2 linked regions of the Arabidopsis thaliana genome follow. The protein of the gene in region 2 interacts with the protein of the main gene of each other region in a pairwise test. Each region holds a gene or a part of one and is shown on either strand. Other genes may lie near its edges.

The links. The genes of interacting proteins can lie anywhere in the genome.
Region 1: the proteins of ERF10 (region 2) and MAF1 interact in a two-hybrid assay, tested with the Arabidopsis thaliana proteins (one large-scale study listed by BioGRID).

What each region holds. Positions count from the first base shown.
Region 1 is NC_003070.9:28,952,776-28,961,033, forward strand, and holds MAF1 (K-box region and MADS-box transcription factor family protein), read left to right. Parts: upstream 1-2,746; 5' UTR 2,747-2,903; coding exon 2,904-3,088; exon of another isoform or gene 3,089-5,535; coding exon of another isoform or gene 5,536-5,558; coding exon 5,559-5,616; intron 5,617-5,680; coding exon of another isoform or gene 5,681-5,726; intron 5,727-5,826; coding exon 5,827-6,069; intron 6,070-6,177; coding exon 6,178-6,219; coding exon of another isoform or gene 6,220-6,279; exon of another isoform or gene 6,280-6,375; coding exon of another isoform or gene 6,376-6,387; exon of another isoform or gene 6,388-6,554; coding exon 6,555-6,596; coding exon of another isoform or gene 6,597-6,638; exon of another isoform or gene 6,639-6,802; coding exon of another isoform or gene 6,803-6,835; exon of another isoform or gene 6,836-6,968; coding exon 6,969-7,070; 3' UTR 7,071-7,336; downstream 7,337-8,258. Other genes in the region: AT1G77060 (Phosphoenolpyruvate carboxylase family protein), read right to left, coding at 225-298, 382-674; AT1G77090 (thylakoid lumenal protein (Mog1/PsbP/DUF1795-like photosystem II reaction center PsbP family protein)), read right to left, coding at 7,801-7,865, 7,971-8,198. UniProt on the Arabidopsis thaliana protein: Probable transcription factor involved in the negative regulation of flowering time in both long and short days, probably through the photoperiodic and vernalization pathways. Prevents premature flowering.
Region 2 is NC_003070.9:956,299-960,835, forward strand, and holds ERF10 (ERF domain protein 10), read right to left. Parts: upstream 2,086-4,537; 5' UTR 1,701-2,085; coding exon 963-1,700; 3' UTR 806-962; downstream 1-805. Other genes in the region: AT1G03810 (Nucleic acid-binding, OB-fold-like protein), read left to right, coding at 2,461-2,710, 3,130-3,311; AT1G03820 (E6-like protein), read right to left, coding at 3,710-4,378.

The sequences.
Region 1 (8,258 bases), about 28 Mb from region 2:
TGAAGAGAACTATAACCAAGCAAATCCACTATTTTCAAAAAGCTATGAAGAGAACTATAAGCAAGCAAGCGACTCTAACCAAGAAAGATTGATACTTTCAATCTTTGGTAAAGAATCAACGACTCAATGTTTTTAAATGTTTTTTTTCCTTTTTTGGTTTTAGTTAAGCTTCTTGCATTCTTTAATGATGTCTTTATTATACTATCAAAATTTTGCAACTTTACCAGCATCTGCAATGATGGGTATATTAGGAGCTGACGCACACACCGACCTTGCCGTCGCAGCCATCTCCGGTGGTCTAAAACGACGAAAGAACACAAATAAAACGAAAGCATACAAACAAAAAATTACTAAAGAAAGAAAAAAAAAAAGGTGGCGCACGTTAGCAAACCGAAATCGGGTTTTCCCAGGAGAGAAGCGGATAAGGCGTAACCGGATATAAAACCAGCGGAGAATCCGGTTTGCTGCACAATAGCCGCGGATAAGGCATCGTAGCATCCAGGCATAAGCACAATGCCTTGTTCTTCAATCAGGCGATGAAAACGTGTTTGGATTCTCGCTGTCGGATTCACCAATCTCGCCGCGCGTGGGTTCCGTCGGAATGTTGGTGAAGCTGTAAGGTTTAAGCTGCTACAACAGAGTGAAGTTGTTTTGACAGCCATTAACATCGACATTCTTCGAAGCCTCGAACAAGTTTTTTCTTCTCTCTAATCGAGTTAGACTCTGACCCACACGCTTGGGATTTTAATAGAGAGCACGTGGTTATTATATCTCGGTCTTATCTTATGGTAACAGTATCTCAAAGACTCAAACCACAAGGTATTGTGAAAATGTTAGAGGCAATCTAACAATAAATGTATAATTTGGTTAGCTTAAGCTCATCATAGAAATGGGCCTTTATGTCACCAAACCTATTTCACAACATAACACAAGAGCCCACAAAACAACGACTCCTTTCTCCACCAGAACAAGCACGACAAAGGCAAGAGAGTTGCAAAAGACCTATAAGATGATAACAATCGAAAAGATGTAAATTTTGAGAAAAATCAAAATAAACAAGAAAGATTTCATTGTTTTTCACTTTTTCTCCATTTCTACTTTGATTTTACATACTCTATGGGCCAACCAATTTCCAACCTAATGCTTGATAAAAAATGATTCGGTTTTACTATCTCAACAAATTGGGCCTACAACATCCAATTTCATGTAGTGACTTGTTTTTGCCTTTTTCACATCTCAACAAATTGGGTCGTTTGTATTTAAGAAATTGTTACAGCTTTTTAGACTGAATTTTACTTTATGGCTTTATGCTCTCTTTTTCCGTTTTGATTAAGGGTGAATATGTAAACTGTTGATACCATCTGATTTTTTTTATTTTTTATTTTTCTTGTGTGCAACTATACCATCTGAATTCAATTGACATTTTAGCCAAATAAAAAAGATTGGTCCACTTGGATGGCTGTAAAAAAGTTTAGTGGAAGTATTTATAGGGCTTGTTGGCAATCTTCACCAACGGCTATAATGTTGATCTTTTTAAAATTAAACTTACCGTTCGACTGTCTTCTCAACGATTTGACAATTAGCCGTTAGATTAGTATTACTGATTTATTATTAACAAACCCATTTCTTTTCTTATTTTTGAATAAGCTAAATCAGGCCAATAAAAGGGACAAGTAGAGATGGGCTATTTCTTTTTTTCTCTTTTTTTTTTTCTTATGTAGTAGAGAAAAGCCTTTATTCTTAGAGCTATCATTTACCACCCATTAACCAGAAGCTGAGAAATGAAGCAAGCCGAAACGAATTTGTAGTTTTGGACGGTGAAATTATATCGGGCCTTTAATGGGCATGTGAATAGAGTTGAGAGTCTTTTTGCCCCAAATAATCGTTTAAGGGAGTATTGGCTCGTTGGTTTAATATTGGGCCGAAACGAGATTGGGAAGAAGAACAATGTCGGTTTAATCCGGTTAGGGTCGTGGGCTGATTCTGGTTCACCTTTATAGCGTAAGCGAACAAACATTGAAAATGGGGAAGCCAAATTAGTTACCATCCCTAACTCAGTTTTGAGACGTAGTATGAATGAGCCACGGCAGAACCTACGACCTAACTCGATAAAGTAATGGTTACTCTTGGAGACGGAAGAAAGCACAAAGATTTTGATAAGGCTTTCTAGTTGGTGAAATGGTCAAAATCGCTCGGAGAGCCATCATAGGAGCGGGGAGGTGCTATCTGAATATCCCAATGCATCAAGACAAGATGGATTCAGAAAACAAAGAAATTAAACAAACATTTTAAAATATGCTCTTAGTTTTAGATAATATAATGTTTTCAATACCAATTATCTTACACTGATAGTGGTCAAGTTACTAATCACTTTTAATAAATTGGTGATAGTCAAACGTATTGAAAATTATCGATTTAAAAATATTTGAATTCAAAACCATTTTAGTGAAAGTTTGCATTGTAGTTTTGATTATCCGATCAATCTTTAATATAATTACGTCAATAATAACTGAAATCCTTGAATTAACCGTTACCCGATTCATAAGCACTACTTTCCGATCAAAACCAATGAGATAAAATAACTTTTAAACCCTCCAAATAAAAAGAGAAAACCTTAAAAACCAATTTCTGTTCGGTGGGGATGATGATCGGACTCGGACCGGTCTAACCGACTGGATTAAAAAGTCTTTAACAACGACAAGCTTAAAAATTTGCCTCTTAGTGGCTTCAAAACGCAATCGTTTCGCTTAATACTATTATTTTCTCTATCTCGTTTAACCAAAAAAAAAAACGAGTTGGAGGAAAAAAAAAACCAAGAAAAAAGAATAAAAAGCAAAAAGCATTGAGCGTCTCCGGAGATTAGGATTAAATTAGGGCATAACCCTTATCGGAGATTTGAAGCCATGGGAAGAAGAAAAATCGAGATCAAGCGAATCGAGAACAAAAGCAGTCGACAAGTCACTTTCTCCAAACGACGCAATGGTCTCATCGACAAAGCTCGACAACTTTCGATTCTCTGTGAATCCTCCGTCGCTGTTGTCGTCGTATCTGCCTCCGGAAAACTCTATGACTCTTCCTCCGGTGACGAGTAAGAAGATACTTTCCTTTTCTGGGTCTCACTCGATTTTTGTGCTTTTTTACTTTGTTTAATTACTTTCTCCATATAGAAGCTTCAAATCTAGGGCTTTTTGATTCCATCAAATCAACTGAGATTTTCTCCTTGTTTTCTGTATGAAGATAGCAGATGCGTAAGCTTTAACCTAATTTAAGACTAAACATTTTGATCGCCAAGATATGTTCTTGATGTTCGTTTCGTGTTTTTTTTTTCGTGTTTTTTTTTTTTTCATTTTAAAATCATTTTTATCTCTTTTTTTACCTTCATTTGTGACGAAATTTAATATTGCATGTTATTCAAGAAACTTTTCTACACGTGGTGATTCGTTCTTGATGTTGTTTAAGTAATCTTTGTATTGCTAGTTCCATCTGTTGTTCACTTTGAAGCTTCGTTTTTTCATATAAGAAACAATATGTTTAGATTGTTCAAATTTTGAGATTTGGTAATTATATTCAATATTGCAATGCACTTCAAGTAGTTTTGTTGAGAGATTATTTGGGGTTAGTGGTAACATTAATCGAATATCTTTGGTTCAAATTGGTTAACACATTGTACTTTATGTTGATCCAAAATGTATTGTAGATCTTTTCTTTTGTAATTCTCTTTAAGGAATAAGGTTTATCTAGTTGATTTTGATGGTTTATTGTAGTGCTGGGATAAGTTTCCACATTGATACTCGCCACACATTCTTCATTACTTAACTAATTGGATATCGATTTTAACCCTTTTAATCGTAATTTGTTGTGTGTTTATGACACCATACAAGATACATTATGTCTTACTGAGTGACTCTTTGTTGCTCTCTAAGATGTTGTAGTTTGGATTTCTTTGCTAAAGAAACTCAAACTATAACTGATTTTACTGCTACCATATATATGTCAGTGGCCTAGTAGGTTCATTAAGTAGAAATCGGTCGCCAATTTTACTAATTGGGAGAAACCACTAGACTACAACCAAATGTTCAATGACTTTAATAGTCTTCTGTTATTTGTCGTGGATATTTTTAACCCCATGAACTTTTGTATCTAGAAAAATCTCATCCACTTCTCTTTTAGAATACTTTGAATGCGACTAAAAGTGAGTTTTTTTTTTCTAATAGACCTAAGATAAAATCATCAATGGATAAGTAGGAAATGGAAAGGTAACTCTTGTCAGTATGTGTATATATACAGCTCCTTCTCATTTCCTTGATGTTGACTCCATAAATGCTTGATCATGAAAGCAAATTTGTTAAATTTGTAACCAACAAAATGCACAGACTATAGACGAAGTATTAGGAACCGTATCTATCTGTCTCCATTTTACAATAGTCAAGCTCTAGTTGTAGCTAGTTTCTTTATTTAGTTCTTATACCTTAACAAAGTGGCACTATGCAAAGTGTTTTTAGTTGAGATTAGTCGTCTTATGCGTCTTACTAATTGTTCATTTTTTCTTCTTTTTGTGATTGATGTAAAATTACTAAGTCACAACTTGAGATGTTACTAAAAAGATAAGAACGTGTAATAACTGAAGTGAATTTGAAGCCAGTCTCTATTCATATCATAGCATTAATAGATCATGGACAACACATATATAGGATTAGAGCTGTCATGACCTTCCCGGAAATGCTAAATCAGTTTCTTGGTTTATCCTTTTTGGAGTATCATGATATCATTTAGCCAAAGGTTTTTGGTTTCAGTATTCCGATTCGTTTGACGTTATGTGTGAAAGCGTCAATAACTAAAACTTGGATTGACTAGTCAAAATATAAACTGATTGCATTGAATTCTTGAAAATTTTCCCTTAAAATGAACATGAATTTCATCAAGATTTTGTCTTTTGGAAGGATGTGATTTATAATCTATACAATCATACATTTTGCATGATATTAGTTTTTTGAAGAACCAAAAATAGAGCTTCTTTATAAAACTGATTTAGCCTTGATAAGAAAAAGAAGGTAGATAATCGAACTCATGGGGATGAGTTAAAAATGTGTGCACTTAGTTTCTAAAACCTTTTGAAGTCGAAACAATGACAATATTGGCTGCGAAGTTGATATATAACAGGATCTTAAAGTTGAAATTGTAAATTCAGATTTTAATTTTAGAGCACCAGATGATCAGAGTTTCAGATTTACATTTGAAGTATAAAACATTTTGAACACATATATCTAAAGCAGTAACTTCAAAAATAGGGTAACTAATAGTAACTTACATTGTTTTTTTTAATGCTTTTATACTTACTATCATTTTTATATATAGATGCCTGGTTAAGTAAAGATGATTATCAAAAACTGTTGGTTAGTAACAGAAATTGTTGCAAATGTAACATATTATATAAGCTTTCTTTCACTTTGGTGCATTCTCTCTAAATAATGGCCTCTATTGATGCAGTATCTGATTCTTAGTTTTGAAATGGTTTTTGCATAAATTATTGTTCTAATGCATTTTTGTTTTATCTCCAGCATTTCCAAGATCATTGATCGTTATGAAATACAACATGCTGATGAACTTAGAGCCTTAGTAAGTAATTAGCTAAGAACGTCATTCTAATATTCTTCTGGATGCGGTTTTTGGTGTTATGAAGGATAGAAGCGCTGTTCAAGCCGGAGAAACCTCAATGTTTTGAACTCGTAACACCGAACTTAATTCTCTAGAGTTACAGTTATTGTGTCTACTGGAAAATACAAGAACTTCACAATCTTTCTGACCATTCCTTTTCTTCATGTGCAGGATCTTGAAGAAAAAATTCAGAATTATCTTCCACACAAGGAGTTACTAGAAACAGTCCAAAGGTTAGCAGTACGACACATTTTTCTCCCCTCTTCTTCTGATAAAAAAAATGTTTTTTTTCTTTTGTCTACTTGTGAATACAGCAAGCTTGAAGAACCAAATGTCGATAATGTAAGTGTAGATTCTCTAATTTCTCTGGAGGAACAACTTGAGACTGCTCTGTCCGTAAGTAGAGCTAGGAAGGTATATGTGCTGCTACTAAGTGATTCAACCAATTACTCCACAAAACCTTCTTTTTAGTTAGTTATCCTAGAACAATCTTTTGACATAAATCTTAATGTCTTGTTATAGGCAGAACTGATGATGGAGTATATCGAGTCCCTTAAAGAAAAGGTTAGTGCTTTGGTTTTTATTTTCGATAAAGGCCATATTCTAGGCTATGATGATTCTTGAATTCTATTAACCTGCTGAGTCTACAGATTACTATATATATATATATATATCTTTTGGTCTTGTCTTAGTTCCTGATTTAGTATTGGCTTCATTCAGGTGAAACCCTAATGAGAATTAAAAAAACAAGCAGTTTTAAACTCTTGATCAAATCCAACCTTTCCCTCATAAAGTGTCGAATTTGGATGAGGATGATTTATGTTTCGAGAAGGAAACATGTTTGGAAATAGCTATAGAAGTTGTTAGAAACTAATGACCTTATGATCTTTTCCAAACAGGAGAAATTGCTGAGAGAAGAGAACCAGGTTCTGGCTAGCCAGGTAACAATGACCACAATATCTTCTGCTCTTGAAGCTAATTAATCACTTTATACGTCCCCGTTATAGAGAGATACACATATACACGTACATGAAAACTAAAAGTTGAAGGACTTTGATGGATACTAGACAATTATAGTGAAACCCTAAATATGTGATAAGTGATAACAAAATGCTTTTAAAATCTATCTTTCTTGTTAATTTAGTAGCTGTCAGAGAAGAAAGGTATGTCTCACCGATGAAAGATACTCAAAACCCGGTATTTTTAATTTGTGAAATTTGCAAATAAAAAAAATGCTTTCTACAAGATAGATTAATTTCTTGCAATGTTTAGTAGCTGTAGAAAAAAAAGAAATGTAAGAAAGTTTCTTACAGATGGGAAAGAATACGTTGCTGGCAACAGATGATGAGAGAGGAATGTTTCCGGGAAGTAGCTCCGGCAACAAAATACCGGAGACTCTCCCGCTGCTCAATTAGCCACCATCATCAACGGCTGAGTTTTCACCTTAAACTCAAAGCCTGATTCATAATTAAGAGAATAAATTTGTATATTATAAAAAGCTGTGTAATCTCAAACCTTTTATCTTCCTCTAGTGTGGAATTTAAGGTCAAAAAGAAAACGAGAAAGTATGGATCAGTGTTGTACCTCCTTCGGAGACAAGATCAGAGTTTGTGTGTTTGTGTCTGAATGTACGGATTGGATTTTTAAAGTTGTGCTTTCTTTCTTCAGCGTGAAGAACCCTAGACCTTCTTATTTCTTTTTTTTTTTACTTTTTTTTTTTATAACTTTAATTATTTGATTATTTGTCTTACATTACGTGGCAAAGTTATTTAGTTGCATCTCTTTTAATTTGATCAAAACCATATCAGATATTTTGCTCTTTTTTCCAAGTTTAGTGATTCTGTTTTTGAGAGCTCCAAACTATATAAGATATTTTTCACCTTTTCCAAGTTTTATTATTTGTGTTTTTGAAGAACTCAAAAAAGCCAGCTTTTGAACTCTGTTTCATGTTTTGGTTCTTTCTGATGAATCCAGATCCATACAACCGTATGCCAAACTCACTGCTCGTATGTTGTTTAGTATAATATTACAGGATTCTCAACTTTTTACAAATACACATTTATGTACCGCTCTTTGTGTTCTTAGTCTTGAGAAACACTTGAGTAACTTGTTGAAGATCTGATATATCCAAAAAAGTTCTAAAGTCTAAACAATGCGGAATGAACTAGCTATCCTCTTCAGATCCTTGTAGTGTCTCTTCCATTGAAGACCTATAGAATCAAACATAAGCAGAGCAATTAACTATGTGTACAAACCAAACAAAAGGTGTTTGCTCTGTCTTTAAATCTCTGACTAGAAGAGAGGTTTTGCCTTACCGTTTCCGGTGACACTGAACAAGTAAAGGCGGTTTCCGGCAGCTGTTGCAGTTATCAGTACATGAGGCGGCTCTAGCTCGAATTGGTAATAGAGTCTACCATCGTGTTCTGCAACATTGGAACTTAACACCTTCCCTTCTACGTTTTCTCCAATAACTTCTGGTCCAAACGCGTTAATCACCTTCGCTGGTTGTCCAATATTTTCAATCTTAACATCGTCCCCGAGGTCTGTATAAGTGGAACACACAAATCAATCAATCTACGAGTACAAATAGACAAGATTGCATT
Region 2 (4,537 bases):
GATCACATTGCGTTTTCGGTTTACGCTATTAAGTTTTATAAATGATATTAAGATATGCGTTTCTTGAAAATAAATGTTTCATCTCATCGTATACCCTGAAACGTGTTATGTTTATGATTTAATTTTATGAATGTACCTATGCACAATTCTCGAATTATTCATCCCCCTCACCCTGAAATGTGTTATGTTTTGGTTATGCTGGTGCCTGGTAGACGAGAATACAGTTGTGTTAGTACCGTCTCCCTAAAGTTATATGTCACATCCTTTTTTGTATATAAAAAGGTGCGACAAGTTCTCCAATTGTTCTTCTTTGGACACCACACGAAAGCTAGTAGCTTTCATATGAGGCATGTGTATGTCATCGACAGATGTACATATCGAGACGTGTTGACTACATAATATTATAATATATGAGCACATACATGCATGTATGGGATCTATGAACATATATACTCCTTTTGGTGGACTCTATACTCATTGCTATAAACAAAGTGATGAAACATACATATTTCTGTTTATCAAGAGAATCTTGATTTTGGATCAGTTTGTTACTGGGGTATTAAATACAATCATTGTCACAGATGTTTTTCTTTCTCTCATTTGATATTTACCTTTGCTCTTATAAGTTATAACTAATTCAAGGAGCTAGTGTATATCACCGTAAAAGAGAGCGCGTGAGTAAAAAAGGTAAGTAGTGAGATAAGTTGTATTCCACGTGTCACTGTGGACGGCGAAAAACACACGTGCGACCCACCTGACACCAATACTTCTTTATCCCCCACGTCAACACGAAATCCATTGGCTAGGTTATGATACGATAATAGTTCAATTACCTTTTTTTAATACATAAAAAAATGTTTGTTTTGTCCTCCAAAAGCACGAATCAACCAATAGAAGTACAGACAATCAGAAGAGCGACAAGATAACAAACTTATTCAAGGACAACAACATCAGATCAATCTTTAGGGACTTGCGTTGAGGTCAAGATCCGGTTCCATTCGCAGCTTACAATCCACGGCGGAGGAAGTCTCAGGCTCTTCCACGGCGGTTTGAGGACCAATAGTCAACCCCATATCAATGGACTCAAACTGGTCAGGACAAACTCGATCAAGCTCCTCTTTCAACGCAATAACTTCAGGCAGATCTAAGAAAAATCCAGCAACCGCTTCAGCCACCCCCGGAGATAACATGTCGTGACAATCCGATGGAAGTGTTCCATCACGCGCCGTTTCGGAAAGGGTGTTGTTCACCGGAGAAGCCAAAGCATTCCCATCGTCTCCAACGAGAGGGAGGTTGGCATTTCCATCACTCACCGTCTCGGAAAGGTTGTTGTTCACCGGCGTCGCCGAAGAAATCCCATAGTATCCGATTAGAGGGAAGTTAGTAGTAGCTTTCGATCCTCGAAACCTTATGGCAGCGGAGTCGTAGGCTCTGGCGGCTTCCTCCCCCGTGTTGAAGGACCCGAGCCAGACCCGTTTTTTCTTTACCGGATCACGGATCTCCGCAGCATATCTCCCCCATGGTCTCCTCCTTACACCCCTGTAACGCACTTCCTTACTCTTTTCTCCGCCGTCATTCACGGCCAGGGCCTTAGTTACATTCTTTCTCTTCTTTACGCCCTTGTCACTCACTTCCTTACTCTTTTCTCCGCCGTCTTTCACGGCCACGGCCGTAGTGACATTCTCTTTTTCTGTGGTCATATTTTGGTTGGGGGAGAATAATTTAGATAAAGGACAAAACTATTGTTTTATAGAAGTGACGTAATCCCACAAAAGGACAAAGTGACAAAAATGTGGAAAGAAATGTCCACGTGGATTGACTGACGCGCCGCCTTAAAGAGAAAACAGTTTTATGACGCCTTTTTATGTTTTAACCTAAACGTCCCCGTTCTTGCGTCTCGCAGTTTTGCGCCATTTGTTGCTTGGGCTTTAACAGGTTATTATCTTTGGGCTTTTTCATATTTTATCTGAGAATCTGATAAACAAGTACTTAGAAATTATCCATGTCGAATATATACTTCGAGAAAGCTTGATGAATCTAAAATTGTATTCTTTGATACAAAAGTTATAATACATAAAAATTGAGTAGATGATACATTGCTACATTATAACAAAATTTGATGATTTATTATTACTCCACAATCTGCTTAGACTAATATTGGATGTCAAAAAAAGAAAATTCGACTAATATTAAGCATAATATGAAAATATAATGAGTTTAAGTTTCAAATTTTGAACGCGCCAATAAAATGTATACCGTTTTAAAAATCGCAAAAAATGAATTAGTGGTAATTTATAATCCAGTAATTTAGATAATAATCCAGAGTAAGATTTGTTTCTAATTTTCTCATTTAAATACCATTGTGAAGAATCTAAACCCTAATCTACCAGCGCGACTCTTCATCACGTCAAAGTTGTCAATTATTTTGAAAAACCCTAAGGAGATTCAAATTACGACACTATGTCGACGACGGCGAATACTAACGCGACGACTGCGCCGAAGCGTAAACCAGTGTTTGTGAAGGTGGATCAGCTCAAACCAGGAACCAGCGGCCATACTCTGATCGTCAAAGTCCTTGAATCGAATCCCGTTAAACCGGCGATTCGTAAAAGTTCGTTGACGCAGCAGCCAATTTCATCTCCTCGTATCGCTGAGTGCCTAATTGGTGACGATACTGGATGCATTCTTTTCACCGCTCGCAACGACCAAGGTAAGGATCTTAATTATTTACATATATAAGTTCTCTTGGTTAGGGTTTCGTAATCGTTTCTCTATCGTTTTCACTCGAAATTGCGTTCAATCTTTCCATAATTTCTCTGTTTCTAGGTTTATATATGCCTTGATTGGAATCTCTATGTTTGTGAAGATCTAAAACATTTATACTTCAGAGATTTTGATAAAGTTTAACTTTTTTTATAGATAATTTTGCTTATAGTTTAGTTTATTGATGAACAGAGTATATCTATTTATATATGTCTAAGCTTTGATTAGTGTTCAATATGTTCCACTTCATTAATCTCTAAGCTTTGATTAGTGTGTTTGTGTTTGACATTTATACAACTTCCTATTCAATATGTGAGAATATGTATGGTACTAATTAATGATGTTCTTTTGGGGTTGCAAATGCAGTTGATCTAATGAAGACTGGAGCAACAGTTATACTGAGGAATGCGAAGATCGACTTGTTCAAGGACACTATGAGAATGGCTGTTGACAGATGGGGACGCATTGAAATAACCGGTCCTGTTTCGTTCGAGGTTAACCGGGCCAACAATCTCTCTCTGGTCGAGTATGAAGTAATTACTGCTTAATGACTACAACCGGTGTCTGTCTCTACTTCTCTTCGTTATTATTTAATTTAAATTTTCAGAGAACTCTCTAGGTCACTGAGATTATATTCAGTTATGATTACTTTTGAGATTATGATGGTGTAGTTTTGGTCTTGCATAGTTCTCTTAAATTGGTATTATTGGTCTTTTGATTCTATTTTTAACACATACTCGTCGCTGGTATTAATCATGGTCATAAATTGAGATTAAGATAAACGTTAAAAAATTTTAGCATAAACATAATATAACTCACAGCTTTGATTTGTATAACTTAAAAGTGTTTTTACTTTCACTTTTCATAAAAGACAAGTAAATGGAGATTGCACAATATAATTAATTGCTCCAAAAAAGTGTTTTGTTTTCTCAAATACAATTTCCTTCTAAGGCTCATACTCTTCTTGACTACCCTCCAAGCTCTTGTAGTATTCCTCCATAGTTTCAAACTCGTTGGTATGATCATTTCCTCGAGCATTCTCATACCCGCGACTAGGGGTGTTTTCTGAATTCCTACCTCTTGTGTCGTAGAAATACTTACCGTTCTCCATAACCCTTGTGTCACTCATCCCCTGCTTCTCTTCTTCATTACCGTAACCTCTCCCATTGTCATTATAATTGTTAGTAGTGTAAGTGTATCCATTATTGTTGTTGTTGTTGTTGTACTTATCCTTTGGCTCATTGAGATCTTCCGAATCTTCAGATTCTTCTTCTTCCTCGAATGCCTCGGGTAACTTGGTATTCTTTTCTTCGTCAAATGTAGCCATCAATTTCTCAAACTCTTCGTCTGTTGTAGTGGATGAACTTGGCCATGACTCTTTGGTTTGAGGAATCATACCGGAACCAGGCCCGAAAGACCCATTTCCGAGTCTTCCATTAGCTTGGGCTAGTCCGGGAGCTGGAGCTGGAGATAGAGCGACATCTTTGTTGTTAGGACGATCTATGTGAGTGAACTTGCTAAAGAAGAGCTTACCCTCTCTAGCTTCAACATTGTGGACGATGAAGCAAAAAACAGCAATGAAACAAAAAATGGGTTTCAGAGCAAAAGAAGCCATCAATGAAGAGAGAATAATGTGAGAGAGTGAAAGATTTTAGGATTTGAGATGTGATTTTGGTGTGTGAGTGAGTTTATGTATAAATAGAATTAAGAAGTAGTTTTTTTTTTGGTATGATAAGTAAAGAAGTAGTTAAATGGCGAGCAAACATGCGAAGAT